4 linked regions of the Astyanax mexicanus genome follow. The protein of the gene in region 4 purifies or fractionates together with the protein of the main gene of each other region. This does not show direct contact. Links are inferred from orthologs where the notes say so. Each region holds a gene or a part of one and is shown on either strand. Other genes may lie near its edges.

Region 1 (7,733 bases), on a different chromosome or scaffold from region 4:
GGAGTACGGTTGGACCTGCCACCTACTGCTCCCTAGAAAGGTGTGCAAATACTGTTATGTAGCAACAAACAAACAAACAAACAAACAAACAAACACAGGTTTGTAGTTGTCCAGCACTGTAAAGATCACCACAGTGATCATCTGAACCACAAAAGTTCAATTTAGTCAGAAGGCAACGGGTCCAACAGAAATGCTGGTGACCAGTCAGCAAGTGGGGGAGGGAGTAATGGGGCTGTGCAGGAAGGACAGTGGACTGGCGGCAGCGTGGACGGGGATGGAGACGGGGAAATTGAAGACGGTGCTGCTCTTGCTGAGCGCCGGGCTCCCTGCTTCTGAGGAACACGTGGAGGACGCCAGCACCTGCGACTCAAACTGCAGCAGCTGACCCATGAAGCTGAAGTTGGGGGAGATGATGCTGCGCCGCTGCTTAACGAACTCAAAAGCTTCATCCAGCTTGACCCGGTTAGTGCGCATTAGGTAGGCCAGGCAGATGGTGGCAGACCGCGAGATACCAGCCTGACAGTGGACGAACACCCGGCCGCCTTTGTTCCGAACTGAGTCTGTGAGGAAAAAAGAAGAGGACGTTAGTTTAAATCTACACAGAATGGCTCTAATTCAACACAGAGCATCTAATGTGTTCGGGTTTACATCACAAAAGCTAGATTCAAAAAGCTAAAATAATAAGATCTGTTTTTGTTTCCTAAATTCCTCTTATTTCGGTCATCAGATTTCTGGTGGGGAAAATTAGCTTCAACCTTTAAATTGCTAAAGGAATTCCTTTCCCTTTTAGAGTTGCCTCCCTCCACTTTAACTGCAAATAACAAATCCACCAGAAGCACTACGGAAGGGAGCAGTCTGACCAGGGAAACAGGAAGAAGTTAGATGAGAGCTGGGGGTGGGTGATGGGGCAGCACTCTCTCAGTAGCAGGTCTGAATACACAATAGGGGGCGGCTGCCCCGCCTGCTGGGAGCATTGATCTGGGGAGGAAGGCCGGTGGAGAGCCAGAGAAAAACCCCTTTTGTTTGGACAGAACAAAGAGCCAGTTGCTCCCTAAAAAGCAGATCAGGTCATGGCCTGCTGCTTTCCATGAAAAGGGGGCGCCTCTTTAAATGGGATGAGAGGGGATGATGTAAGCCATTGTAGCTGTCAAGCTTAACCCATCCAGCTGGTTGATTTGGAGGGAACTTTTGAAAATTTTAATTCAGGCCACACTTGTGGAGGGGGAGGGGAAGTCTGCTCACCAAAGCTTTCCTATAGCTGCATCTGTTTTCGTTTTGTAACTGGGAATCAAAGAGTGGATATAAAGCTTTTATATTTTTTCTTATTCTCACCGATAAATTCAATGGCCTCGTTGAACCAGGAGCTGATGTCAGCTTTGTGGTTGTCTTCAACAGGAATGCTCTTGTACTGATAATGTTCCTCGAAATGGTTTGGACAGTTGGCAGATACGTTTATGAGAGCTGTGATGCCCAACATGTCCAGCATGTCTTTTCGTGAGGCGTGGTAGGCGCTGCCAAGATACAGGAAGGGTAGGATTTCCACAGGGCCACCCTGAAATCAAAACAGTGGATTTAGGACTGTGAATAAAGGCAAAAATAAAAACTAAATAAGTGTAATAAATGAGAAAGTTACTAAGGCATGTTTTCTCAGCTCTTACCTGATCATACAGAGGGGTAGCGCAGGTATTACAGCCGGATTCAGTGGTATCAGACTGGCAGCTATCGCTCAGAGGCAGACTGAGACCCTGCGGGGGAACTGGTTTGGTACACATTTCAGGAAACTCTGAGACAAATGTTTCAAATCCACCTAAAAACAGAGAGAAAATTGAAAAATTGGCTTAATTACACAGTTTAGTTTAAGTGTGATCTGTAGTGAACAGCTGAGCGGAGTTTCCCTACAGAAACACAAATAACCACAGGCTGTAAAGCACGGCCAGGTTTACTCAGTTCCGTCTACATAAAATTAACTACATCTAATGTTTATTTAGTTAACCATTTTCCAATATAAGGATGTGTATCTCACTTTATAAATGAGGTAATAGTAAAATTCGCGCTCAGTCTTGTTTAGTTAGCGGGGAAACCTCAGCTCTTACTTCTTTTGTTGGGTTTAATTTCGGGTTTGTGGTTTTGTGAGCATACAGCTTTAACGTTACTCTAACTAAACTAAATAGACTTTTATACTACCTGGTTAGAGTTAATTTAAAACTAATAGTACATAAAAATATTTATTCGAAGTTTAAAAACTTAGTTTAGGTAATAAACATGGTTTTAGGCTGTTTTACCGCTCTCACATTAGCTAACAAGCTAGCATTAGCTAACCAGCTAAAGTAAGCTAACGATCTGCGTAGCTTATTACCGGTTAGCTTCAGTGTAGCTAGGCTAGGCTAAGCTAACCCTGTTTAGCCGCAGGTTTAGAGTTTGTACCTTTCAGAAACACGATTTCCGCCCCGCACGGGTTCCGGCACAGCGCGGTCACTGCCAGCATCAGCGTCCCGTCCTTCTTCGCCTGGCCGAGATCCGAGCTCCGCTCGTCCAGCAGCACCACCGTGCGGATCCGACCGGACAGAAGCCCGCTCCGCGTGTCCTCGTTCGGCACAATGTGCTCCAGCCCGAGCCCGCCGCGCGCCCGCCGCCGCACGATGGTGCTGAAGCGGACGTTGGTGGATCCGGGGATGTGAGACGAGCTAAAGGAGAAGAACGAGCGGCAGTCCAGCACCAGGCAGCCGGGCTCGTCCCCGTCCAGCAGCGCCCGGAGCGCGGAACAGTCGATACTGGGAACCTCCATAATGACCATAGTAGGGCAGAGCGCGAAGTCCAGGTACATAAAGTAGCGCCGCACAGTCCACTCACAGAACAGCGGCCCGCGGAGGGTTACACTCACAGCACAGAGGCTTATTCACAAAACACGGCTCCGTTTGAGGTGATAAAAAAAAATCTCTCGGAAATTCACGCGTTGTTTCCTCAAACTGAAGCCCGGTGATCCTCTTTTCCGTGTGTCGTTCTGCCCGTGGTTGCTCCCGGAGCTCTTTTATACCCCTCGCGCTCTGAGAGCAGCAGCGCGGTGACGCCACGGCCCCGCCCAGTCTGGCGGACTGCCAGCGTGAACTCGCACGTACGTCACGAGCAGCAGAGCGAAGGGCGACCAACCAAACCCTTACAACAGCCGCTCACACCTCACTCTCAAACACCTCACTCCTCAACATATCACTCCTCACACCTCACTCCTCAACATATCACTCCTCAACATATCACTCCTCACACCTCCCTCCTCAACATATCACTCCTCACACTTCACTCCTCAACATATCACTCCTCACACCTCACTCCTCAACATATCACTCCTTTACACCTCACTTATCATATCTCACTCCTCACTCCTGTACACCTCACTCCTCAACATATCACTCCCCAACATATCACCCCTCAACACCTCACTCCTTTACACCTCACTCCTTTACATCTCACTCATCATACCTCACTCCTCACACCTGACACCTGTACACCTCACTCCTGTACACCTCACACCTCACTCCTTTACATCTCACTCAACACCTCACTCCTGTACACCTCACTCCTGTACATCTCACTCTTTAACACCTTACTCCTTTACATCTCACCCTTCACACCTAACACCTCACTCCTCAACACCTCACTCCTGTAAATCTCACTCCTCACTTGTTAACACCTCACTCGTTAACACCTCACTCCTTAACACCTCACTTCTCTACACCTCACTCCTCAACACTATTACACCTGTCCCAAAACTAGCCCAGCAATCAAAACTACTACAAAACTATAACTGGTACTACTAGCCCTGCTACTACTACCAGTACTAGTGCTAGTTTCACCACTATTTCTACTACAACTATGTAATACCCATGTTATTTATACCATTACTACTATCACTGCTATTAGCTAATACTATCTGGATGATCACTATTACTACTACCACCAATACTACTGTTCTACTATCACCAATACTACTCCTGCATTCCAAACTAGTACTAGTACTACAAACAGTACTACCAATAGCATTTGTACCACCTCCACTACTATAACTATATAACTTATTAAGAATACTTATCTTCATTGTTGTTTATAAACAGTATTTGTACATTTTGTCTTCATTTTTTCTCAGTAACCTATAAAATGATCAGAATAACTTTGTTTAACCTTTATAACTTTGTTTTACCTAAAAAATCATAAAACCTATGAATTATTTTTAATGAAGTATTTTCTCTTCTGGCAGCAGGTCAGTGTCAGTCGAGGAATTTAGTAAATTTTTCCATGATGTGATCGTTTGTGGATTTGGTCTTTGCTCTCCTTCTTTGATGAGTTCTAACGAATAACAAGATAATTAGTGAATACCTGTCGCTGCGCTCATAAAAGTTTATACTTTGTTTTTATTGTACAGGACTATGCAGTGTGCAATGCGGCGAGAGCAAAGGCCAACCATAAAAGTTAATCACTGTATAGAAACTGGAGGTCTGGTAAATTTCCATCAGCTGAAAAACACGACGCCGGTTCTGCGCGGGAACACAGCCTGTTTATTTGTTTACAGTGAGAAACCTGTTCTGGGCTTCAGGAGAAACAGAAAAGCTGAGTTAAATGAGTCGTACAGCAGATCTACTGCAGTTTAAACAGGAAATGCAGTCTGACAGGTTTAATCACTATATTAGTGTTTCCCCAAACACTGCACTCACGCCTCAGCTCTGTGTTGTTGTGTATCCTGTCAGCGCACATAACAACAGCGGGTATTTTGTCATGGATGTGGTTGAAGATGTGGGTTAAAAGTTGCTTTGGGTTATAACTTTCTGAGTTACATAACACACCGTACCAATTAAAAGTTTGGACACACCTGACTGTATATAGTTTTTTTTTATTAAAATGTGAATATAAAGAGTTTATGTATTTTCATAATTGAAGTAGTTTTAGCAGCCAGTAAGATCTCAGTGGAACTTTTTGAGAGAATGTAAAGAGCATGTAAAGCTGCATCAAGACACAAGAATTATATTTTTAAAAGTTTAAAATAGGCCTGTAGTTTAATTGTGATTAAACATTACATATTCTAATAGAGATATGCGTACTGAAAACAGAACTCTGATTGTTTACTGGTCTCCTGAAAAAACTGTGTTTGAAACGTTTATTTGCAGAAACAGAAAAAAGTATGTTTAAAGAAAAGCTGTTGCTTTTAATCTGTTGCCAAATGACTCTTTGTTTGTTGCTAAAAATAATAAAACAACATAAAGAAAAGAGTCAGTCGGAAAAGACAAGCAGGATTTGAAGCTGAGATGAGAGAAACACTGAGAGATTTGTGCCGAAAACCAACCAAAAACACAAAAACAACAGCAGTGACATTTTCCACCACTTCTGCAGGGCCGGCCTGACCCCAATCAATCATCCATTAAAGAGCCAATCAATAACAGAGATATAGATCAAGCACCACAAGATACAACCCTATCATCAGCAGCACCAATCAGGAGACCAGAAAATATACAGAGACTTGCCACAAAGATTCAAAGTTTGTAAGAAGAATGGATTTGCTCATGATCCAAAACATACTGGCTTATCAGTAAAGCATGGTGGAGGTAGTCTCATGGCCTGAGCTCGTTTCTTCTGTTTTTATTTATTTACCATTATGGATAAAAGAGTGAAACCTGATACTCGCAATAACATCAACAGAACTCGGTTTCTAATCCACCACACAGCATTGTTTGTTATGTTGCTATGCTACACCAAACAAATCACTGAGAACATTATATACATATATTTTTGTAAATACATAAAATCTGGCACATGTTGAATTATGTTTGCAGAAATATTACTGTTTATATTAGAATGATTTTTACAGGAAAAACAACAACAACTACATTTTGGACCTCAGACACTATCACTGTGGTCTACTGGGGAGTGCAGTCCACACAGATTTAAAAACACTGTATGTTTGCTTGTTTAGATGTACTAAGGGGAAAACACACAGTATCAAATATTATGAGCCATAACATCTTAACCTGTTATTTGTTTATTTTTTTATTACAAGAACAAGTGCTACTTATTACACTGGTCCAGATACTTCAGCACTGCACATATTCCAGCTGTTATATCTAGAAATATCTCAGGAATTCCTGGAGTTTATATTAATCCAGCGTAATCCAGCTCTTACACTTAGTTAAACTCTGTGTACATCTAAACATATCTCGATGTTTCCAGCCCATACGCTGCCCTGAAATGTTTACCACATTTCCTGCTTCACAGACTCAGAGCTGTACACTGAACTGAAAGTAGGACAGCGTCGGTACAGTTACTGACGTCAGGGCTGCGTTTTTGGCGCCTGAGTCAGGAAGCTGGACCGCTGGAGTTCTGCTCGAGGCCTGTGTGACCATAACAGAGGAAGAAACACCAGTAACAAGAGACGGGAACTTGGCAACGGCTGGAGATGCAGCAACATCTGCCCACTGATCTGGACTTCACTGTCCGAACCCCACCGCCATGATTCAGTCCTGGAATCTAAACTGCGAAATGGAGCGTTACTCATTTTTGTTGAGTGTGTGTGTTTAGGGTGATCAGAAAACACACTGTACTGTACCCGAGCTGACTTTAAATAGAGGAGGGGGTGGATTAAGAAACATGAGATTCTTTAGTATTTAGTGAAATGCTAAATTAGGACAGTATCGATGAATCGACACGCATTCACAAAATATTGTACATTCAATTATTTTAATAGTTTTGCGTTTAATAGAAACATGTTTGAATTTTACATGTGTTTATATGAAAACTAAGCTCTAAAAAAAGCAACACATTGTGATTTTAATGATTTAATAAAGTTACAAAAACAATGAGTTTAAACATCTCAACCTATTTAGCCTACAGCAGTTTAGCCACGCCCACTCACACTGAAGTTATAAAGAGTGGTACATCTTTGAGTGCTTAAGGAATGAGTGAAAATACAGGAAAGCTCTTTAGAGTGGAGTTAATTTACATATAATTTGTCTTAAAGGCACAGTAACAGAAATACATTCATTAACAAAACTCACTGTAAGAGTAGGATTTTAGGTAAAAGGGATTAATGAAAACATCAACGCAAGAAATGTTCCATTTTCACCTTTATTTATCGCTAAGAAGATCAGAGAGTAAGAGGGGATGAATTTAAGGATTTAACTATCAGCGCTGATTAAAGAAACGTACAGAACGGTGACAAAACAGCAAACGTAAGAGCGAAACAGTGACATATAAAATACCGCTACATGTGACGCTTCACTTCCAATAATCAGACGAGTCTGAGCTTCAGTGAGTCACTCTAAACCGATAATCTCAGAGTTCCCACCGTATTTCTGTTTACTCTTTACTCTCGGTGTGAAAGGGAACTGAAAGAAGGGTATATATGCAGGAGGTTTCCTATATATACTATTCCAGCAAGGCTATACCCCTGTCATTACCATTCATTTACTGACAGAAGTGTGTCTGGGTAAGTGCTGTGCGTCCTGGGAAACTACAGGGTATATCCTCCAGTCTGTTCTGCTGCTGACTTATGTTCAGTTTCTATTTCTGCATTTCAGCAATTTCCAGGTTTCACAACAGAGCATGACATCACTTTACATTAAGCAATGTGAAGTGTGCGGTTGTTACCTCTTATATATAGAGTATATATACACACACACTACTATAATTTAATGTATGATTTGTATCTCTGTATGTCTCCACTGGTGTTGGTTTTAGTATCACTGTGAGAAAAG
Region 2 (7,922 bases), on a different chromosome or scaffold from region 4:
CCAAACTCTAATAAAATTTGCTACTCCTTTGATTTATATATTCTAAATGTATTTTGTCTACAAGAAAATGGCATTTAAAAACAACAATAAAAAAACATATATTAAACATTTAACATTTTTGAATAAACATCAAAAAGCATTAAAACCCTAACTTGAGTCTATATGGACACCCCTTTTATTGAATGCCTTTAGCTACTGAAAACTGCAAGTATTGCTGACACAGATGTAAACACAGAGCTTGTCTCCGCCCTGTAGAGCAGTACTGCCAACAGAATAAGCTCTGTGTAGAAAAGAAACAAACCTGCTGCGGTGTGTTGGGGATGAGATTGGTACTAGGAAAGTAGTTACACAGCAAAAGAGTAGGTTACTTTCAGACAAGGCTAACTACAGCTGTTCTACTACCTGTTACAACATGAAAAACAACTGCAGTATTTGCACCTATAGAGGTTGGACAATGAAACTGAAACACCAGGTTTAAGACCACAATAATTTATTATCCCGACGGACAGTTGAGAGTTGGGGTTCACATTAACCTTTGCCGTGATTTGGGCGGCTGTGGTTTTATGTTTTCTAGATACAATCCGGTTTAGCACCCAAACATTCCTTTCAGACAGCTTCCTCTTGCATCCACAGTTAATCCTGTCTGATGTGGTTCGTCCTGACATTACCCTGGATACCATGGCTCTTGATACATCACAAAGACTTGCTGTCTTGGTCACAGATGCGGCAGCAAGCGTGCACCAACAATTTGTCCTCTTTTGAACTCTGGTATGGCACCCATAATGTTGTGTACATTGCAATATTTGGAGCAAAACTGTGCTCTTACCCTGCTAATTAAACCTTCACACTCTGCTTTCACTGGTGCAATGTGCAATCAATGAAGATTGGCCACCAGGCTGCTCCAATTTAGCCATGAAACCTCCCACACTAAAATGACCGGTGTTTCAGTTTCATTGTCCAACCCCTGTACTTGACAGTTATTTGACTAAAGAAACCTGCTGATCAACAAACCAAATAACCAATGTTTGATAGGTAGCTAACTAATTAACCACATGTCAAAATTTAACTAGACTAACTAGATTAGTTAGTGTTAGTTAGTTTTAAACAGAGATGTTTAGATGTTGGCCACTTAGCCCACACAATGTTACAGCTGCAACCAAAACACATAGGTTAGCTAGTTAAATAGCTTGGCTAGATAGATATATACAGTCCCCTTTAGAAGCATTGGAACAGCGAGACCAATCCCGACTGAATTTGAGTCATTTGAGTTCAGCGTTTACTTCCAGGTGTTTACATCTGGATCTGATACACAACGCAGAAAATAGCACTTACTGTCTGAACAAACTCATCTGCCTCGTGAGCAAAAGTATTGTAATAGGTGACTGTCAGGTAAGTCTGTTTCCCAGGTGTGTCCTAATACATTGATTATTTAAACAATAAACAGCTCTGAATGTCTAAGCTCAGTTTAAGATTTGGGTAAAACTGAACGTAAATACCCAACATTTATTTTTTTGGGTCTGTAGAACAATCTATCAATGACTGATTAATTGATTACCTGTCAAAAGGTTGGGCACACCTTCTAAATCAATGTTCTGCTTTATTTCTTTCCTTTTCTAATAATGTAGACTTGTAGAAAAAATAAGAGAGACCCATACATTTATGTAGTAAACAAAAAAAAGTGTTTGCGCTCCAAAATCCCCTGATCTAAACCTGATCCACTGAGATGGTGATTTGAGGTGATTTGGGATGGAGCTTCACAGCGGGAAGAACACCTCAGCACCTCTAGGAATTCCTTTAAGACACTATGAAAACTATTCCAGGTGTACGTTCAGTGTTTTGTCTGATTATTTGTCCTGTAAAGCTGTTTTGTGACAACATCAGTTGCAAAAGGCGCTATACAAATAAATTTATTTTAATTTGAAAATACCAAGAGTGTGCAAATCTGTTATTAAAGTTAAATGTGGCTAAATAATTCTGCATGTGTTCCTGTCTAATATGTTTTATATATTACATTTACAATTGTAGAAAATCATAAAAAAGGAAGAAAACACATTGAATGAAAATAGGTGTGTCCAAACTTTTGACAAGTGATGTAAGTTAGTTATACAGCTGTCTAGAAATGTTATTGATCAAAAAGGGAATTTACGCATACAATAGATTAAAACACACAGTTATCTACATGTATACAATCAAATAACCCACAGGAAAAATAGACAGATATAGCTACAGAGGGTATAAACATTTGGGGAGCTCCAGCAGTGTAGTAGATATTACTTGGTCAATATAGCTACAGAACAGCAGTGATATGACATATGGATAAGCTAAACCTAGTTAGCTAACGATACAAGAGCTAAACAAACCAGTTCAGCAGCTCCAAACAATTGAAATAGCCTCACAACAAGGACCGTATATCCCAGTGTTATCATTTTATTAGTATTCCGTTTCCATATCAGTGAGAAAGTCAACAAGCCACTCACCATTTCCAGAAGAATCCGATGGTTAGAGGGGATGCTAGTTAGCTTCTAGCTGCTTGAGAAACACCTTAACAAACAAGCCAGCTAGCTCAAATCCAATGTTACAGTGAGCCCTACGAGCTAAACATGTATTTAATAAGATTATATATATTTAACAGGTAGAAAATAAACCTTTAAAATGTATCTTAGCTCCTCAGTTGTGCTGCAGAAGCCAGGCTAGTCTGTTAGCTAAAGCTAGCTAACCTAAATAACTGAGCTCTGCATTCCCTGGACGTCTGGCTAACCAGACTGAATAATATAAACTACAGATTTAACCGAATAAAAAAATAAGAGTTAATAAACTGCGCGCGAACAGACAGACACCTCATTCCTCCACGCTTTCAGCGCTGTCTGGATTTAAGAAGCACAAGCTGAGCGTTTTAATCAGCGCCTGTTAGTGAGGAAAGCTAACGGCTAAAGAACCCGGAGACAACCCGTTAACCCACAACAGCGACGGGAAGTTCCGCCACAGAAGCTGTAGCCGGGAGACTGCCCACTTAACACCGCCTTCCGTATATGTCCGACCACCAGAGGGCGCTCCTGTACGAGAGAAAAATGAATGGGTTTATATGGAGGAATAGCTAATTGAGTGGTGATGTAAGGGTGAGGTTGTATTTGTGTTTTGTGCCATGTTGGACGTTTTTTTTTATTATTATTGAATTAAACTTCACGTAAACAATTCAATAAAGAACAAGACATTACATACATAATATATAAGAAACTAATTCGATTAATGACATAATATTACTTATAAACAGATGTAATAGGGTTTTTGGTATACATTACAGAACGAGCAATTAAAATTAAGATCTGTAGTCTGCAGCCGTATTTGACCTTATTTTGGTTCACTTTCTCTTATGATGGTGCGTTTTTATTGTTTTACTTTACTATTCTGCACTACTAGTTTATTTATTGTCCTCGGTTTACGTCGTTGCAAATTTGCTAAATTATGATATAACTGAGTTCTTGCACTGTCTGTATGGCTGACATCAGTCATCTTCTCAATATGCACAGCAACTGGTCATATCTGTGTCATTATATTTTATCATTTTTTTGTAACTTCTGTGTACTATGTATACCTCCTACTGGATGTCCAAAATATCCCTCTGGGATAGATAGATATATCTATCTATCTGTCTGTCTGCCTGCCTACCTACCTACCCAATACGAAGCCGCTAAGTTGACATCTTGTTAAAAAAAAAATTAATGCGTGGCCATGACTTATTAAGGTGCGGGAATGAGACCCTAATGCATGTCCACAACTTATTAAGATGTAGAAACGAGATTCTAATGCATGGGAACATGATAATTAAGTCGTAGCCAGAGAATAATAAAACCCATGATAAAACAGAATAATAAATCAAAGTACGGAGCCCCTAAAGTAACATCATGTTAAAAAAAAGTTAATTAAGATGTTACGATGCTTTATTAAGTCATGGCCAGGCCTTAATTACCTAGTTTCCACACCTTAATTATCTCATTACAAGGCATGAGGATCTTATTCCCATGCCTTAATAAGTTGTGACCATGCCTTAGGATCTCATCGTAATAAGTCAAGGCCACTCGTAATTGTTTTAGCATGATGTCTGTCACATTAGGGGATCTGTAAGAATACATGATAGAGTGCACATTTTAGAATGTCTGCCTGTGCAAGAATATAAAATAAAGGGGTTCCTGTGAAAATCATAGTTCCTAAATGTTTGATCATTTTTACACTGACATTTATTTTTTTCACATTTCAGTACAGATAAAAAACATCAAATGTTAAAAGCTTTAAATCTGGGAAAGAGCCTGTTTACAGAGAGCTTGTCCGCTTCATATCTCCCCGTTTATATCAGAAAATCACATAAGGGTAACGTCCGCTAGAGGGAGCCCGCGAGAGAATTCAGAAAAGCGCTGTTTCTCAAACACACAGCATGAACACCAGAGGACGACAGAGAGCTTATCTGGTGTTTATCTGAGCTCACATACCAGCCACCACTATTATACTTATATTATACACAGCTTCTGGAGCACACACACACACACTAGCTCAAGAAGAGTTTTTTTAACTGATTAGTTGCATTAGTTGTGCTGAGACAAGGAAAAGCACTAAAAAGCGCAGAGCTGAGGGTCCACCAGAAACAGGAGCTGAGAACCAGAATTCAAGTTTAGTGGTTTTGTGTTGTTTGGAATGATGGTGCTCCCGGGATGAGTTGGGGACGGTCATGTTGGGGATGGTCTTGTGGCTGAAGTCCTCCCTGAGGAGTAGAGGCAGTTACTCCAACAAAAGCAGGTTAAACTGCTTTAACGGTTCAATAACCTTGATTTTGGACGAAACAAAGAATGTGCAGGTGTTCCATTATTTGTGTCCATATAGTATATGTTATATTCCTTAACTATTTCTGTAATGTTGTTCCATATTGTTCCACTCCAGGATACCATATCTTCTAACAGTATTGAATGTAATATAATACATGGAAAGAATGTCAGTCTGAATGGAAATACATACAGTAAATACTTTAGATTAGAACAATATATGAATAAAGGATGTTCTTCCATATTAACACCACCCACACTGAACATCCAATTTGTGTGACCTTCATGGAGAATGACAGGAACCTGCAGGTATGTGGAAATTTCCTGTGACAATAACCCCCATTAAACTGTCAGAAAGAAGCACAGATGGAGTAACCCACTGGGACTGTGAAGTCTTCTCAGACTGAAGACATCTGAAATAGTAAGGCAGACCAGCAAAGATCAGGGGCCTGTTTAAAGAACTGTTTCAGAAAGTAGAAGTGTAGTCGCCACTGCATTTATATATATACATACCACTTCAGTTTCTGAATCAGTTTCTCTGATTTTGCTATTTATAGGTATATGTCTAAATAAAAACGAACATTGTTGTTTTATTTTATAAACTACAGACAATGTTTCTCCCAAATTCGAAATAAAAATATTGTCATTTAGAGCATTTATTTGCAGAAAATGAGAAATGGCCAAAATAACAAAAATGATATAGAACTTTCAGACCTCAAATAATGCAAAGAAAACAATGCAAAGTTTTAACTTTATGCCACTCCTGGTGCAAAAATTCAAGCAGTTCAGCTTGGTTAGATGGCTTTTGCTCATCCATCTTCCTCTTGACAATGTTTCATCTGGTCTTTTAATTTTGGTCTTTGACTTAGACTCGACTAGTAAAAGTCGTGCTCTTGACTTAGGCTCGATATGTACTGGGTTCTGGTTTGGACTCCACTTTGGCCAGTTCATTAAATGCACACACCCATTTATTCACATCTTGGGACAATTTAGCAGCTCAAATACAAACTGAGTGTTTTAAGAAGGTGGGAGGAAACCCATGTGTCACAATGTGGATAAGCTTATTCCTTAAAGAAAAGGCCAGACTGACAATCGAACCCACAATCCCAGATCTGTGAAGATATGCAAATTTACTGTTGAATATTATTGATATTTTTTTACAGTTTTCACTTTAATATTTTTCATGTTTTTGTAATGGTGAGAACCATATTTTAGTCTATTATTATTATTATTATTATTATTAACCATACCCATGAGAAGAGGGGGAACTCTCAGTACAGGAACACTGAATAAAATCCAAAAAATATACACTACCCATTACTGGGTGCGGCTAGAACTCTGTTACAATTATATCAGTTTTTTTTCAGTAAAGCCTTTTAGATTTGTTCTTTTAAGGACCTTAATATTATTATTTATTATTATAAATAATAATATTTATTTAATAATAAATATTGTTATTTAAATATTATTTAAATAATAATATTTATTTATTATTATTATTATTTATTTATTTTTACATTTTTTTAGATAGATAAAATATATTTTATATACACTGACATTACACATTATGTGAATATTAGTATTGGGTCCCTTGCTTTTTGCTATATGCCATGAATGCTAGAGTAAGCTGCACTGATCTATGGGATATGTATGTGAGGTGAGGTCTGCTGCACTGATTGTTTGCCGCTTGCTTGTCTGTTTACTTGTCATTGTTCCTCAGATCAGTATAGTAGCAAAGATTTTGACGTTAAATAACTGCATGTTTTTTAACTTTGTACCATGTCTTTCACTGTAACAGACCCAGAGAGCTGTGTTTGAAGCCAGGATGTTTTATTCAGGAACCTCAGTTAACACATATCACAACATAAGGTGCAATGTGATTCTATGCACTATATTGTACTGATTAGGTGAATGTGATAGCAATACATATGTTTTTTAGAAATCCAAGTCATTTACCTACTGAGAGCAGAAGTTTGATGGTGTGTTACAGGCTACTGGAAAATACTTTCATTTTTTTTTTCTTTACAAATCCATACCCAATACCGGCTTAAAAAGACAAGCATAGAGTGCATACAAATGTAATGTGAGGTATAAGCACCAATAATAATGGGAATCAAATCATTGTCTGGTGTGTTAACAGGACATTTCAAATCGAGCATACAATACTTCAGGATACTTCAGAATTTCATGCTGTGCAGTCAGGCTTTATAGGCCAATACTGTACTGTAGTACAAGGAACACTTCTGAAGAGGTGCATTAGTTCAAGCTGGAAAAACAAAAAGCAAGACTGCAGAAAGGGATCTGATTTGACACACCAGTGTTAAATAAACTCAAAACACATGGGTCACATGAGCCAAAATGATCAGGACAGGATCACGAGACCATTGCATTTTACACTTAAAAATATATCAGTGATACATCATCTTTGTGCAAACAAAATGTCTTAAAACAGCTCAAACCGATCATATAAATAAGACAAATAAATACTGGATGCTTTTCTGCATATTTGAAAGGAAATATAGTACAACTGCACTTTTTCACATCCTTAGATGTTTCAATCATTTACAAGTTTCAGTACCATTACAGTTTACTGTCCATTACCCAATGCTCCAGTATCACAGTTATCACCTAACATATCTGTAGGGAGAGGCTGTTGTTTGATGGCGTATATATTTATATTTATAATACAGTATGATACTGCAGCAAGCTGTCCTTTTTCAGGTTGACAGATTGTTTGAAGGCTTTATGGAGGTGTGTTGTTTCTCAGTGTCTTTCTCTTGATTCGTGGATCGAAATCAAAGCCACACCAGGCCAGGCCAGGTCCATGTCCACTGTTTTTCAGTAGTATACAGAATTTTATACACGTGGACTGCAGTCGTGGAAAGCAAACATCTCTCATGTGGGTGTTTCTCTCCATCCTTCAAAGGAAATGTTTTCAATTCATGGATTTCAATGGATTTTCTACAGAAAATATGAAAAACCTCCCACTTCAGCAGTTCTTCAGAAGATGCAGGAATTAAGGTGGTAGTCTTGACCTTTGTTTTTTTGCCTTAACTATGCAGATGAGAGGCTGAGCAGAGTCTTTCCACAAACGACCCCCACAATGCACCA
Region 3 (7,308 bases), on a different chromosome or scaffold from region 4:
ATATAGTGTATCTCACTATTTTATATTCATAATCTTATTTTCTGTAACTTTTGAGAAGGAGAGGAAAGTAATTCCAATTCTCTGTATGTCTTTTACATATGCAGTATTTACAATAAAACTACTTGACTTGACTTTAGTACTGGTTCAGCAGTAAAGTTAGTAGTTGTGGTACTGGTTAAGCAGTAGAATTAACAGTTGTACTTGTTTAGCAGTAGATGAACTAGTAAGAACAGTAATGTACTAATTCAGCAGTAGAGTTAGAAGTTGTAGTACTAGTTCAGCAGTAGAGTTAGTAGTTGTAGTACTAGTTCAGCAGTAGAGTTAGTAGTTGTAGTACTAGTTCAGCAGTAGAGTTCGAAGTTGTAGTACTAGTTCAGCAGTAGAGTTAGTAGTTGTAGTACTAGTTCAGCAGTAGAGTTAGAAGTTGTAGTACTGGTTCAGCAGTAGAGTTAGAAGTTGTAGTACTGGTTCAGCAGTAGAGTTAGAAGTTGTAGTACTAGTTCAGCAGTAGAGTTAGAAGTTGTAGTACTGGTTCAGCAGTAGAGTTAGAAGTTGTAGTACTAGTTCAGCAGTAGAGTTAGTAGTTGTAGTACTAGTTCAGCAGTAGAGTTAGTAGTTGTAGTACTAGTTCAGCAGTAGAGTTAGAAGTTGTTGTACTAGTACAGCAGTAGATTTAGTTGTTGTAGTACTAGTTCAGCAGTAGAGTTAGTTGTTGTAGTACAAGTTCAGAAGTAGAGTTAGTACACAGGAAATTTGGCAGTGTTAAATCAACACTGTTAGTGTTAAATCAACTCTAATAAGTGTTATTATATACTAATACTGTGTTATTATATACTAATACTGGTAATAGTAGGTTTAGTACCAGTTCAGCAGTAGAATTAGCAGTTGTACTTGTTTGGTAGTATAAGAACTAGTAATAGCAGCAGTGGTTGTAGTACTGGTGCAGCAGTAGGATTAGCAGTTGTACTTGTTTGGTAGTATAAGAACTAGTAATAGCAGCAGTGGTTGTAGTACTGGTGCAGCAGTAGGATTAGCAGTTGTACTTGTTTGGCAGTAAAATAAGTAGCAGTTGCAGTACTGGTAACCACAGTGGTTGTAATTTGCAGATGGCAGATGCATTTCTAGCAGTTGTAAGACTAGTAGACTGTTTTAATACCATATCATTACTACTGCTGCTGCTGCTGCTTGTCGGTTACACCTACTTCAGTCAGTATCAGTAATTCTGCAGATATTGATTAGCTTATGGTCAGTACCGGTGGTCGTCCCAGCGCGGGTCTGCGGATCTCTTCCAGGGGGGCCGGGGTGGTCTGCGGCGTGGCGAACAGCAGGATGTCCCCGCCCGCGGAGTGGGTGGCAGCCGGGTGAAGTTCCACACCGCCGGGGGTGGAGATGATCACTATCTGGTGCTCGGCGCTCAGGTCGATGCTCCCGCTGTTCAGCAGCGACTCGAAGTCGGCCAGGAGGTCCTCGGACGTGTGGCCTGATATGAAGGTCTTTGACATGTTGGACTGTCTGTCTGAGTGCGCGTTTTAAATGAGGCTGTGTTTCCGAAAACACCCTCTGATTCAGGCCTTCAGTGGAAAAGAGTTCAGGAGACTGCCCTGAACTGTGTGCTGTGAGTGAAATTACACTGAGGGCAGCCAGAATACCGTCCTGCTGGAGGAGCCATGTTTATAAGGGCTTGTTATAATTACATATATTAAGGCTGACATATGTATATATTTCTTATAGAGATATTTAAGTTTAATATGCGGATTTAACGCAAGTTAATGCATTAATATGAGAGGCTTTCATTCATTAAACTAACAAAACAGCTACGCTAACTAGCTAACTTAGATAACTAGGTCAAGGCTCTTACAGCCAAAGTACAAAGTTTGACAAAAAGCAGAGGAGTGAAAGTTGCCTAATATGATTACAAATGTAAGGAAATATCATTACGGCTGTTTTTGACACTTTAAAGTAGGATTACAGCTCTAAAAGTCAGAAAATCTGCATTTGTCAGTGTTGAGTGCTAGCAGCCCTTTGTTTTGGTCCCCTATGACTAGACAGCTGAAAGGCCAGCAGCTGCAACTCTGCTCCCAAAGCTAACTGGCTAGCAAATATAGAAGCTATAAGTGGGGAAATGGGGAAATATATACGAATACAAATTACTATAGTTAGCTATATTAGCTACAGTTATAGTTAAGAAGCTATTAAAGTGATAAAGTGGGAAATGTAAATATGAAGGTTACTATACAAGCTAGGTTATAAGCTAATTTAGAAGCTATTAAAGTGTAATAGTGGACAATAATAAATATAGCATAGGAAACATAGGGAAAGTCAGAAAATATGAATATACAAAGTTACTAGTGCCTATTGTAGCTACTAACCTAGTTAAGTTAATATGAACGTTAGCTGATCTATACGATATTGTTACAGCAACAGTCAAGTTCAGCTTTATATTAAGCTGGATGGCTGATAGAAATGCATCTAAAAACTATAGATTAACTTTTTTTTAAAGCAACTACACATTTAAACATTTTAAAGAGTTTTTTTACTATTATGAGTTAATAGGTGACCAAGGCGAGGCTTTTCAGTGTAAAAGTTTAAAATATCTGCGGCCCTTGGTTTCTCTTTCTGCCAGAAACAAAACAAACCCGTCCAGGAAGCTCCTCCGTCCAAAAACTAGCTAAATAATCCAACTGTCCTGTCGGCCGCGCTCTCCAGGCGAAAACATCCACAATAAACCCCCGATAGTCTCTCGCTTTGTGCCCACAGGTCCGCCGCTGAGCCTCCGTCCGCTCCCCGAACCGATCTGCTCCGCTGTTTCTCCCTTTTTGTTATTGTTGTTTTTGTCTCAGCTGATCGGCTCTAGCTTATTTACGCGCCAAATCTTTTTTGCCGCGAAAACTGGCACGTGCCGAATCGCGGCGACACTATTGGACGAGAACAATTTTCACGTCACGGTTCCTCTGCTCTCTGATTGGCAGCCGCGCCTGTAACTCAGAAACAGGCACTTCTGGAGAGAACAATGGGAATTTAATCGATGAGCAAGTTTAAAAAATATATTTATTTATCAAAGACTTTATTTTATAATTACAATTATTATATGTGGAACATTTTCATTAGAATTTGCCCAATAACTAGCTACGTATCTAGCTGGCTTTGTTAGGTATCATATATTTTAGAAGCAGGCTAATACATTTGTCTCAGCTGACCAGAGAATATTAAGAATATTAAGAGCTCTGAAATACTTATAACCCATAGCAGTCTGTTACATATTTGCCTATATTACTATATTGCATTGTAATACTGTAATAAAATAATAATATTCTAATAATTACAGTATTTCACATTTACTATGTATATGACACACATGTATACGAATGATTAGTATAATTAACTATTATAAAGACTAAAGATATTGAGGGTAGACTAGCTACTACTAATGCTGTCCATTATGGGTTGGAATGAATTTGATGGGTGAAAATATAAAACATTTGGGTTCATACTGTCTGCAATAAAAAGAAAAGTCAAAGTAAATGTAAAAAACTTTTTTTTCTCTTTTATGGGTATTTTTCATACTCTTTCAACCAAAGTCTTTATTTAAAGTCCCAAATTGCAACTACCAAGCATAGCCTAAGAAGTATTTTTAGTGGATACTGATGTTTGTATTTCTTTTGTTTGGCTTTGTCTAATATTGCTACAGTTTTTAATTTAAGCAAATTTAAAAAAGAAGACAATTATGTAGAAATAAAATATATATTAAATGAATACATATTTATAATATTTATAAATGATTATATAAGCAACTATTGTTCAGCACCTCCAGGAACTCCTTCAAGAAAACTATTCCAGGAGACTTAAAATACCAAGAGTGTGCAGATCTTCCTTCAAATCTAAATGTGTTATTTAGAAGAACTAAGTTTATAGTATAAAACACTTATTAAAATAATACCACGTGTTCCTTTTTGATGTCTTCAGTATTACATTTACAATATAAAAATCATAAAAAGAAAGAAAACACATTGCCCGAGAAGAGGTGTGTCCACATGTTTGACTGCTACTGTATATCATATTAAAATATAAATGAATAGAATGTGTAATATTAATCAGCTGACAGGCCCCGCCCACTCCTCCGCCTCAGAGAGACAGAGAGCGCTGCTCCGCCGGCTGCTGAAGACTTCAACATGTCGCAGGCGATATTTGAGGTGCTAGAAGGTAGACACAAGCATTTTTTACTCATTTTTTTTTACAAAGAAATACAGACGTTCAGCTGTCTTTTAAATTGTTTCTATTTCCTGCTCTGAAAACTGAAGTTTTGAGAAGCAGCCGGTTCTCTCGTGTCTTCCGTGTGGCTCAGTTAAACCCTTTAAACCCGTTAAAAGCGTGAAGCGGAGCTGCTCGGTCCTGTTAAAGCGGACGGGTCTGCAGGATGTGTGTGTGTTTGGAGTGTGTTTTGGGTTCGTTCGGGTGTTTTTCACTGTTATTTGTGTGCGCTGAGATTCGTGTAGAAGAGGGAGGGTGGGCCGCTGAAACAACAGCTACGCACTGAGGGAGGAAAGATGGCGGAGGGCGAAAGGCGAGTTGTGGGAAAAGCCTCCCCAGCGCTATATGGTCAAATTCTGCGGTCCACCTTAAATGCTGCCGCTGTTCTGCTCGGGGGCGTGTGCAGGTGGCAGTTCGGTATTAATGTATTTTTTAAGGTGGACCTGGATTTTGAATTAGGGAGCCAACCACAGCTTTGTGAACTGCTACAAACAGACTGACATATCTGTTGTAACAGATTTAGACAGAACTAGTAGTAAAGTGTGATGACTCTGCTTATATGTTCTAGTTTTTTTTGTTTAAATGACAGATAAAATACAAAACTGTTAATTCTATATAGCATGTATTATTAGCTTAGGAGTCTCTGTTGTTATATCAAATGTTTGATAAAAAAAACACTTGTATTAAAGCTATTCAAAAAGAAAACATTTTAAAACAGTCACATAACCTTCTTTACACATTTTTGCACACATACATATTTTTTATGACTTGTATGCCTCATTGTATTATGTAGAGATATGGCCAATTACATTACATTTCTTTAAAAGAAAATGGCAACAAAGACCACGTCCTAGCAGGTTAAAAAATCAAATATAACTTTAAGATAAAGTTGAGTCATTTTCACTTTTGTTTACAAGCCAAGACAACTTAATAGCATAGTAGAAATACATTCTAATAGCAGGCATCTAGATTAAGGATGCTCAGTGATATTGGCATTATATCGGTATTGGCCGATAATAGTTTCAATTAAGTATCATCACATTGGTCGAGGTCTAGATATTACCAACTTTCAGTGTTTGCAAACATATTTATTGCATGCCGGAAAATGACCAAGCAACGGGCCGTAATGTGAGGACCAGTAATCCTGTACCTGGCCTATAGACCTGTTCGCAATTTGGTGTTGGGGGAATTTCTCACTTGAACTGAGTTAGTGGGTCCCTAGACATGAAAAATCCCTGAGGTGCTCGTCCGCCATAGTGCCACGAATTCCGCAATGGTCAAATCAAATATGGCTGCCATCGGCTATGATGAAAATCCAACTTTTTTGTTTCTGAATGTATATACACAAATAATACCTCAATTTAGACTAATTATGGTATGAGAAACTTATTTCTGATATTGTTATGACCATATTGGGTGATTTTGACATTAAAAGGTCATGATCAAGGTCGTTTTTCTATTCTTAAGTGTACTGAATGCGTGCATGCATATTAGTGGGATGGGTTTTTTACAGAATGATTTTTCTATTTTTCCATGGCAGAATATGATGCATGAAACTCCAGCAGAACGACAGCCACATCGACTATTGTCACACTTGCCTGCACACTTACAGACTGAGAGCAGACTTGGTGGTAAAGGCTTCAGACATTTTGATGGCGGGAGTGTGCCAAAGTGCTCCTTCCATTCATGGTCTGTTGGCTCTAGTCTTGCTTTGGTGTCCTTGGCTGTAAGCAAGTTGCATGCCATATGAACCAGAGAAGCCCCTCGTTGGATGTGGCCTCTGATCACACTACTTGTGAGAGCATCAATTCCAGTACTTCCATGTGTGTAGATTTCTACAAATGTCTTAGCTTTTATCAAATATCTTATCTGTTGTTGTTGTTGATCTGTCCCCAGCCCAGACATGCACCAAGTGCTTCTCAGCCAAAGCTGCATCATGCTCTGTCAAGGCCTGCATCTTGCTCTGCCTCTCCAAAGTTGGCTCAGTACTGGGTCAAAAGCTGTAGAAGCATGTTTAGTCTCCACCTTGCTCATACAGTCATCTCCAGTCAGGATATGAGCTTTAATCACTGTCTTTGACAGTTATGCTCCGAAACGAGAGACTGCTTGATGGAGTGGAAGCATTCGCAGCCTCTCACCATTGCCATACTGCCACCAGATCTCCTTCATCCCAAGTTCTGGGAAGTATGTGCTGTAGCGGAGAAGCAATGCAAAGGTGTCTGTGTCATTGGAGACTATGATAACTCTTTTGCACTGCTTCACAAGAATAGCCCACTCAACATGCACCAGCAACCTGGCATCAGCTTCTTCAATCCTGTTCAATAGGTCTGGGATCTCGTCCCCACCAGCTGCCTTTGCTGGCAACACCTCATAATGAAAGACAACAGAGCTCACAAATACAGTAGCATTGCCACTGGTTCGACTGCAAACCATATCACGATCGGGACATGAGACACTTTCTCTAAGCAGTCTCTCGACTTGGAGCATCACTTTCAAAGACAGTGATTAAAGCTCATATCCTGACTGGAGATGACTGTATGAGCAAGGTGGAGACTAAACTTGTTTCTACAGCTTTTGACCCAGTCCAGTACTGAGCCAACTTTGGAGAGGCAGAGCAAGATGCAGGCCTTGACAGAGCAAGATGCAGCTTTGGCTGAGAAGCACTTGGTGCATGTCTGGGCTGGGGACAGATCAACAACAACAGATAAGATATTTGATGAAAGCTAAGACATTTGTAGAAATCTACACACATGGAAGTACTGGAATTGATGCTCTCCCTCTCACAAGTAGTGTGATCAGAGAAAACATCCAACAAGGGGCTTCTCTGGTTCATACGGCATGCAACATGCTTACAGTAGCCAAGGACACCAAAGCAAGACTAGAGCCAACGGACCATGGATGGAAGGAGCACTTTGGCACACTCCTGCCATCAAAATGTCTTAAGCCTTTACCACCAAGTCTGCTCTCAATATGTAAGTGTGCAGGCAAGTGTGACAATAGTCGATGTGGATGTCGTTCTGCTGGAGTTTCATGCATCATATTCTGCCATGGAAAAATAGA
Region 4 (7,282 bases):
TCCCCAGCAGGAGCTCATCTGGGAGACTGTCCCAGGATAGACCGGCTGCAGGAGGGAGAAAGTATGTTTGTGAACAGACTGAGTTTTTAAGGAAATGTATAGTATCTATAGTTTAATAAATGTAAAAAAAGAATATAACTTTTTGTTAGCATACAGTTAGTTGAAAGCTAAAGTAAAAGAAAAATAAATGTTACACTTGGTTCTAAAGTTGTGTATACATTTAACTGTAAATCAGTGTTAAAATACCAGCAGGGAGATCTCCCTCAAATGATTATTGACTAAGCACACATGTAATAACATTGGATATAAAGGTATATAACACAATATCAATACCTGTTGATTCCCTGCTCTTTCGAGGACGTCTGGCCAACACAAAAGCGTTCTCCTTGCCCTTGCCGCAGAGCCGAGGCTGTTTGCGAGGGGGTGAAAGGTGCTGGATGAATTCATGCGGGGTGTTTTCTTCACCGTAGCGCAGCCTTTGCTTCTTTTTCGTCTGAGACATGCACAGCAGGGATCCCTCCAAATTCTCATTCAGACATGGAAGCTCTTGAAGCGGCCTGCAAATCAGGGTGGTTTGTTAAGAGTCAATAGCTAAACAGTAATTAATTAATAAGCATGAGAAAATATTTTTAAATCTATATTTTGTTTATATCATGCCCTCCAAACTCTGCTTCCTGTGTGTATGGCTCTTTCAAAATTGCTTCAAAAATGATAGAAAGTGCAAAAGTGGGACTTACAGGCCTTGTAAATAAATGCCCAGAAGACAGTGGAAAATGTAAAATCTTCTCGTATTTAGTTAGTAAATATTAGGGCTGGGCGATATTGCCAAAAGGTATTTCTGAATTTTGGCCAATGCAATATAATTCCACTATCAATATAAACAATATAAAAGCTACCGCCTGTGTCCTACTGTATGTCATCATTAACTGTGCCAATAGTGTTGTAATTAAGAAAGCTAGAACCAAGTCCGAATTAAGACCAGAACCAAGAGCGTCTGAGACTGAAAGCAGACCAAGTTATTGATTTATTAAAAAATAAAATGTTTAATTTTCCAATTTAACAAAATTGTATTTTTATATAATAATACTTTTTTAAATATCTTGTATCTTCCTTTATATTCATTTTCTTGCATATATATATATATATATATAGATATTTTATATATTGTTTGTATGTATATGTCCTTATACTTCCTCTGTTCTGTTCTTTGAGCTGCTGTAAAATTGCAAAAAAAAAAAACTTTCAGACCTGAAATATCTCCAGTGATGGAAAAAAAAATCTATTTAGCACAGATTTTATATAAATCTTTTTTTTCGTTTCATAACCAATTCCTAAACAGTAAAAAAAACAATTAAAACGCTTTCCAACTCACATTAGATTAGTAAGTTGTCTTTTAGTAACTTGTTCATTTGCCATTCAAGGTTCACAGTCTATTCTGATAGCTATCAAATAGTGTTATGTGCAATAAAACGTTTAAAAATAAAGAAAATACATGATGTATATTGTAATGGCTGCAGAATCTGAAAGGGTCAAAAAGCATTACCTAATTTTTTATTGAAATGAACAGTTGTATCATTATTTTTAGGCACTGAATTTTATTTATATGTTTTAAGCATAATCAATAGGATATTAAGATTTTATAATATGATAATATCGCCATATTGCCCTGACCTTTAATTATGTAATCTGTTATCAGTTTTGGTGCCCAGGCTAAGTGTGAACTTAGTGAGTGAGTAGCCCTGAAACCCTCCCCCTACTGTGGGTTTCTGTCCACAGGTTTCTATCTAGTTAACGATTAGTCCACACTGAAATTTGTTAGGTAAAGTCATTAATAATCAACAATATCGATTATGTTAATCAACTCTTGCAGCCCAAATCATTTATTTAAGCTAACATTAACGACACTGAGCAGCCAACTGTGCTCAGTGTAGTTGTTTGTCAAGCAATAACGCACATTAAACATATAAATAACCTAAATTAAAACAGCTATCAAGCTATAAAACATACATGTAACAAAAAACAAGTGTCAAATATACTATAAAACATATATGCCTTAATTTATTGAGCTTTAAAGTGAAAATTAGGCGGAGTTTGAAACTTTTTTCAGAGTTGTTTTGGTGCCCGCCAGAACTACAGTTTGGCTCCCTCTGATCGCGCCATCTCAACAATAGAACACCAAAAAAGAGCTCAAAATGATAGAAAATCACAGAAATAAGTATCATAACGATTAACATTTTTATATACAGACATGATACGATAGTTAAACGAATAATATTTTTCTTATTTTTAAGTTTAAAGCCTTTAAAAGCCAAGGCGCGCCAGAAGTGCTGGAAAGGAGGGAGCTAAAGCTAGGTTAGCTTAGCCATAATAGCTAGCAGTCAGCTCAGTTCCCTCTATTTAACTTTTAAGCTAAATAACTTATATAACTTAGCTTTAGAGATATATAAAGCTTTGTAATAGTTAGGATAGGACAATAATATGTTATCTAGAGCAAATATTGTTTTAAACACACAGGATTTAACCTAACTAGCTAAACAGAGCATTACTGAAGCTCATGTGTAAGTTATAAGTTTAGCTAGCTTAGCTTAGTTAACTGTTAGTACTTGTATTAGATACGTTTTCTAGATAACTTGTACAGTTAACTAACTTACTGATCACATTGCTGGATACATATTTAATTGGCTACGAAAGACACTACACTAAAGAGTTAGATAACTAGTTAGTATGAATTATTAAGGGGTTATCTACATTATAACCAAACACTAAAACTACTCTATCTACTAACCCAGTATTAATATAAGTTATTCCACAACCAGGCACTTCTGCAGTCCATAAACAGTGCTATACTCACCTATCCACTGCCATCTCACTCTCTAGTCCGTGTTTAAATTGTTTTATATGTGTTTCCGCAGTAAATCTCTCAGATCTGCTGCTCAGTACTGATCTCTGCATTGCTGTGCTCTCTGTCTGCAGCCGCCACCGTTTAAACGCGCAGCTCCACCGCCACCCAGACTGAGCTCAGAGCGGAGCAGCGCACAGACTGTCGCCGCCCTGCTGGACCGGAGAAATATTACACTGACTCACTCAGACCAGGGCTGACTGAACAGACAGACAAGTAGACAGACAGACAGGTAGATTCAATGTGTTTTGTTTATTTTTATCTTTTTTTTACATTGTAAATTTAATATTGAAGACAATATTAACGCTATACAGGAAACATCTAAGAAGCACGTTTATCTTTGAGGACGGATCTGCAAACTCTTGGTATTTTAATCTGTGTCTTCATAAGAATAGTTTTGAAATTTTATGTCTACATTTTATGTTTATGTCTAAAATATTATGGCTAAGTAAATCAGCGTCTTGAAGGAATGGGTGTTCAAACCACGAATAAACTACAAATTATAAATAATAATAATTTTAAGTCTTTCATATTAATCTACAATGTAGAAAATAATAAAAATAAAGAACAAATATTAATAAGAATGGGTGTCCAAATATTTTACTAGTGCTGTAGATAGATTTAATTCATTCTATTAATCCAAATAATTAAATTTAATTCACTGAATTTTCATATTTGCTGATCTCCAAGTCATCGTAGCCCACATCCAGCCGTGTATGTTGCATACAAAGCGACACTATCAGTGCGCATGCGTGAAGATGCCGAATGCCGTCCCGCTTGCTTCCCTAGAGTTGTTCTGGTCGCTGGGTGAAAATAATCTCTAATAGAAAAGAGAATTCCCACTCAGACGCTCTGCTCTGGAAGTAGTAGTTAGCTAGTACATGACACAATATTGTACTTCTACTTTCAGTACTTAAGTAGTACATTTTAGAATAAATACTTGCTGTACGTAAATACAAAACATTTTTATTATTTTAGTACATGTACTTCTAATTGTGGAGCGACTTTTTTATGATAGAGCACTTTTATTTTTTAGCACACACTGGAAAAATAAAGAATTGCAAAAAAAAAAGAAAAATATTTTTTGAATTTTATCTTTGACTATATATATTTTTTGTTAGTTTTACACTAGGTTTTTAAAGCTCTTACAATCGCCTACAAGGTGATGACAGAACAGGCTCCTTCCTACCTGCACTGATCACTCCTAAAGGCTTACGCTACCTCCCGGCTGCTGCGCTCCTCCAATGAACGTCGCCTAGCTTTACCAAACAAACATTCACACAAAGCAATCCAGACTGTTCTCATACAGAGTTCCCCAATGGTGGAACAAACTACCTTCCACTACCAGATCAGGCGAATCTCTCACTATCTTTAATAAACTCCTGAAGACAGAGCTCTTCGAAGAGCACTTACTCTCTTAACACCTCTAACAAACTACCTTCTACTACCAGATCAGGAGAATCTCTCACTATCTTTAATAAACTCCTGAAGACAGCTCTCTTCAAAGAGCACTTACCCTCTTAACACCTCTAACAAACTAACAACTTCTAACCTCATTTCCTTCTTCCCCTCCTTCACTCCTCTATCCCATTATTCCCCTTTGACCTCCTTTAGGCCTTATATTAAGTTGTTTTACCTTCTACTATTTCTGTTCTTCACTACAAAAGCGTCTGCCAAATGTAATGTAATGTAATGTAACTAGGTTTATTTATATTTGTATTAATTATATTACCACTATATGTATAATTATATTATACTGTATGTCATATTATATATTTTTTTCCTTTTGTTCACTTGCATATTTCCTTGTTTTCACCTTTTCAATATTGTATTGGTTGTGCTTTATGTTTTAAAAGCAAACTACATAAAATATACTAAAAAGCTCTATTCACCCTATTCATTTTAGTCTCTTTCTCGGGCTCTCCCTGGCGGTGTACAGTGGTTTTCTGCTTTAGCGGCGGAGGCGGTGAGTGGGCGGTCTCGGGGTAAAGCAGCTGTGGCCGGGGGATGTGTGTGTGATTTTGGGGCAGGCAGAGTAATGGCTGTAGCTCGAACAGCTTTATTTAGTGGGCAGTTTTCAGTATTGGCGGTGTGGAAGTGGAGAACAGCGGCTCTGTGAGCGGTCTGTGTATCTTTCAGCGCGTTAGACAGGTAGGAAAAGCCTGTATATCGGGGTTTAGCTTCTAACGGACGGTAACTGTTAGCTGTGCTGGGTTTGTTGTTAGCTAACCTAGCAGAGCTGTAGTTAAAGCTAGCAGCAACGGCGGATGCGCGTAAACACACAGTCTGACAAGTCGCTTATTATTGGTAATATGATCAGTATATTAATAAATATTAGAGTCAATAAAAGGTTATATATACAAACCATTAGTTTAGAAGTTAAACTGAATTGTTGGTGTTTAATGTTGATGTTTGTGCTTCTATGTTGAAGCTAATATTTTGATTTTACGGCCCCAACCCCCTCCTCCCTCAGCTCAAGTTTGAAATATTCTAAAAGAAAGGGAGGGGTAGTGTGGGAGGGGCACTAGGTGATGTATGGGTTTAGGGGCGGGGCCGAAGTTAGAGCAGATTGAGCTGAGCAGTGTGCCTCTGATAAAAGTGAAGCCCTTCTATCAGAGTTGGACAGCCGGAGCTGCGATTGGTCTGCCGGGCCTCGCGTCCCCTCCCACTAGTGCTGGACAATTATGGCCTAATAAAAATCTTCCATTTTTTTTAACAAAAAATCCAATTTTCGTCTAGAAACCGGTTTTCTCCATCCTTCTAAAAATCAAACTACAAATAAACAAAGAAATGGTTCAAAACTAGGTTTACCTGTAAAAAAATAAGGTGAGCTATGATGCTGCAGTTTTTAGAAACAGATTTATTTCTAGCTAAATATGTGCTTTTTTCCACCGGGTGTTTGTGTTGAAAGTGCTGGAACTTTAAAAAATTATGCATTTGTTAGTCTGTGGGAGTCACAAAGTAAGACAGATAAGCACTAAACAAATAAGTAACAGTTTTGGATATTTCAGATTAAAAAGATAAAATATCTGTATGTAAATTCGTGATTACTCCGTTTTGAAAAACGCATTAAAACTGTAATTCGAATAATCAAAATTAAGCATGAATCTCACCCAGGACTACCATCCACACATTCCCTCCTTTGCAGTTTAAACTGCAGAGCGACACAGAGCCACTAATATGCGCACGCAGAAGTGTAAAACAGAAATAACAGAAATATGATCCCATAATCCAACCAAATGTGTTACTAAATGCAAAAATGAAAGAATCAGAAAATCAAGTATAGATACAAAATAATAATATGAAACTCTGTGTCTGACCCACGATTCAGAATAATTTGATTTCTTCTTGTAATCTTGCTCTAGTGAATAAAAACAAAAAGGTCTTTCAGATTGGTAAAGGGGACACTAGCTTTTGTCTGAGGCCGGTGTTTTGTATTCTAATTGTAATTAGTTTGTGGAAGGCCTTTGCTGTGCTTAGCTCTTGCTCCATGTAATAGTGTTTTAGAGTCTTTAGTGTCTTGCTATTCTTATTCTGTCTAACATGTTTTTTCCTCTCTGCCTGTTCTGCACAGTTTTCATTAGTCTGGAGGACTGCAGCAGGGGAGAATGAGTGGAGCTGCGCTGGGAATAGAGATAGTCGTGGTCTTTTTCCTGGCTTTGTTCCTGCTGCATCGTTATGGAGACTTCAAAAAGCAGCAGCGCATGGTGCTCTTTGGCACACTGCTGGCCTGGTATTTGTGCTTTCTCATTGTCTTCATTCTCCCGCTGGACGTCAGCACGGTTCGTTTAGTCTGATATTTGGAAATTACATAATTATTCTATGATTTTTAAATGCATTGCAGCTTAATTCATATTTGTGTTTAATATGTATTCCAGACAATATACAAACAGTGCGTGATTGATCATGAGGAACATGCTCAGTCACCATCTGTGGGCCCAGGAATCTCCAACCAGACAACAGGAAATGCGACTGTCACGCCCACTGCTAGGTTGGTCTACTTTCTGTGTTATTTCTATTGTGCTGTAAAGAGGCTCATGAATAATAGACTAGGAATAGCTACTGTCTTTATTACAGGTACATTAGTGTGTCCTTTGTTTGTTTCTATATATACAGCTCTGAGAGAAAATAAGAGACAACTTTTTATTCTATAAACTACGGACATCACGTCTCCCAAATTAGAAATAAAAAAAATGTCATTTAGAGCATTTATTTGCAGAAAATGAGAAATGGCTGAAATAACAAAAAAGATGCAGAGCTTTCAGACCTCAAATAATGCAAAGAAAACAAGTTCATATTCATAAAGTTGTAAGAGTTTAGAAATCAATATTTGGTGAAATAACCCTGGTTTAAAATCACAGTTTTCATGCTTCTTGGCATCAT

Evidence for each region.
Region 1: the proteins of skp2 (region 4) and dusp1 purify together in Homo sapiens (affinity purification with western blotting; 3 studies listed by BioGRID and IntAct, with this or other methods). This does not show direct contact. The link is inferred for Astyanax mexicanus from reciprocal best matches to the Homo sapiens genes SKP2 and DUSP1.
Region 2: the proteins of skp2 (region 4) and fbxw2 purify together in Homo sapiens (affinity purification with western blotting; 4 studies listed by BioGRID). This does not show direct contact. The link is inferred for Astyanax mexicanus from reciprocal best matches to the Homo sapiens genes SKP2 and FBXW2.
Region 3: the proteins of skp2 (region 4) and e2f1 purify together in Homo sapiens (affinity purification with western blotting; 6 studies listed by BioGRID). This does not show direct contact. The link is inferred for Astyanax mexicanus from reciprocal best matches to the Homo sapiens genes SKP2 and E2F1.

The regions. Positions count from the first base shown.
Region 1 is NC_064417.1:131,397-139,129, reverse strand, and holds the start of dusp1 (dual specificity protein phosphatase 1), read right to left. Parts: upstream 3,023-7,733; 5' UTR 2,825-3,022; coding exon 2,425-2,824; intron 1,808-2,424; coding exon 1,659-1,807; intron 1,553-1,658; coding exon 1,333-1,552; intron 561-1,332; coding exon 205-560; 3' UTR 1-204. UniProt on the Homo sapiens protein: Dual specificity phosphatase that dephosphorylates MAP kinase MAPK1/ERK2 on both 'Thr-183' and 'Tyr-185', regulating its activity during the meiotic cell cycle.
Region 2 is NC_064408.1:17,947,494-17,955,415, reverse strand, and holds the start of fbxw2 (F-box/WD repeat-containing protein 2), read right to left. Parts: upstream 3,008-7,922; 5' UTR 2,478-3,007; intron 1-2,477. UniProt on the Homo sapiens protein: Substrate-recognition component of the SCF (SKP1-CUL1-F-box protein)-type E3 ubiquitin ligase complex.
Region 3 is NC_064420.1:14,793,071-14,800,378, forward strand, and holds the start of e2f1 (transcription factor E2F1), read right to left. Parts: upstream 3,007-7,308; 5' UTR 1,503-3,006; coding exon 1,254-1,502; intron 1-1,253. Other genes in the region: znf341 (zinc finger protein 341), read left to right, coding at 4,170-4,200. UniProt on the Homo sapiens protein: Transcription activator that binds DNA cooperatively with DP proteins through the E2 recognition site, 5'-TTTC[CG]CGC-3' found in the promoter region of a number of genes whose products are involved in cell cycle regulation or in DNA replication.
Region 4 is NC_064424.1:6,373,182-6,380,463, forward strand, and holds the start of skp2 (S-phase kinase-associated protein 2), read right to left. Parts: upstream 3,008-7,282; 5' UTR 2,953-3,007; coding exon 2,852-2,952; intron 558-2,851; coding exon 334-557; intron 46-333; coding exon 1-45. Other genes in the region: G-protein coupled receptor-associated protein LMBRD2B, read left to right, coding at 6,508-6,681, 6,778-6,890. UniProt on the Homo sapiens protein: Substrate recognition component of a SCF (SKP1-CUL1-F-box protein) E3 ubiquitin-protein ligase complex which mediates the ubiquitination and subsequent proteasomal degradation of target proteins involved in cell cycle progression, signal transduction and transcription.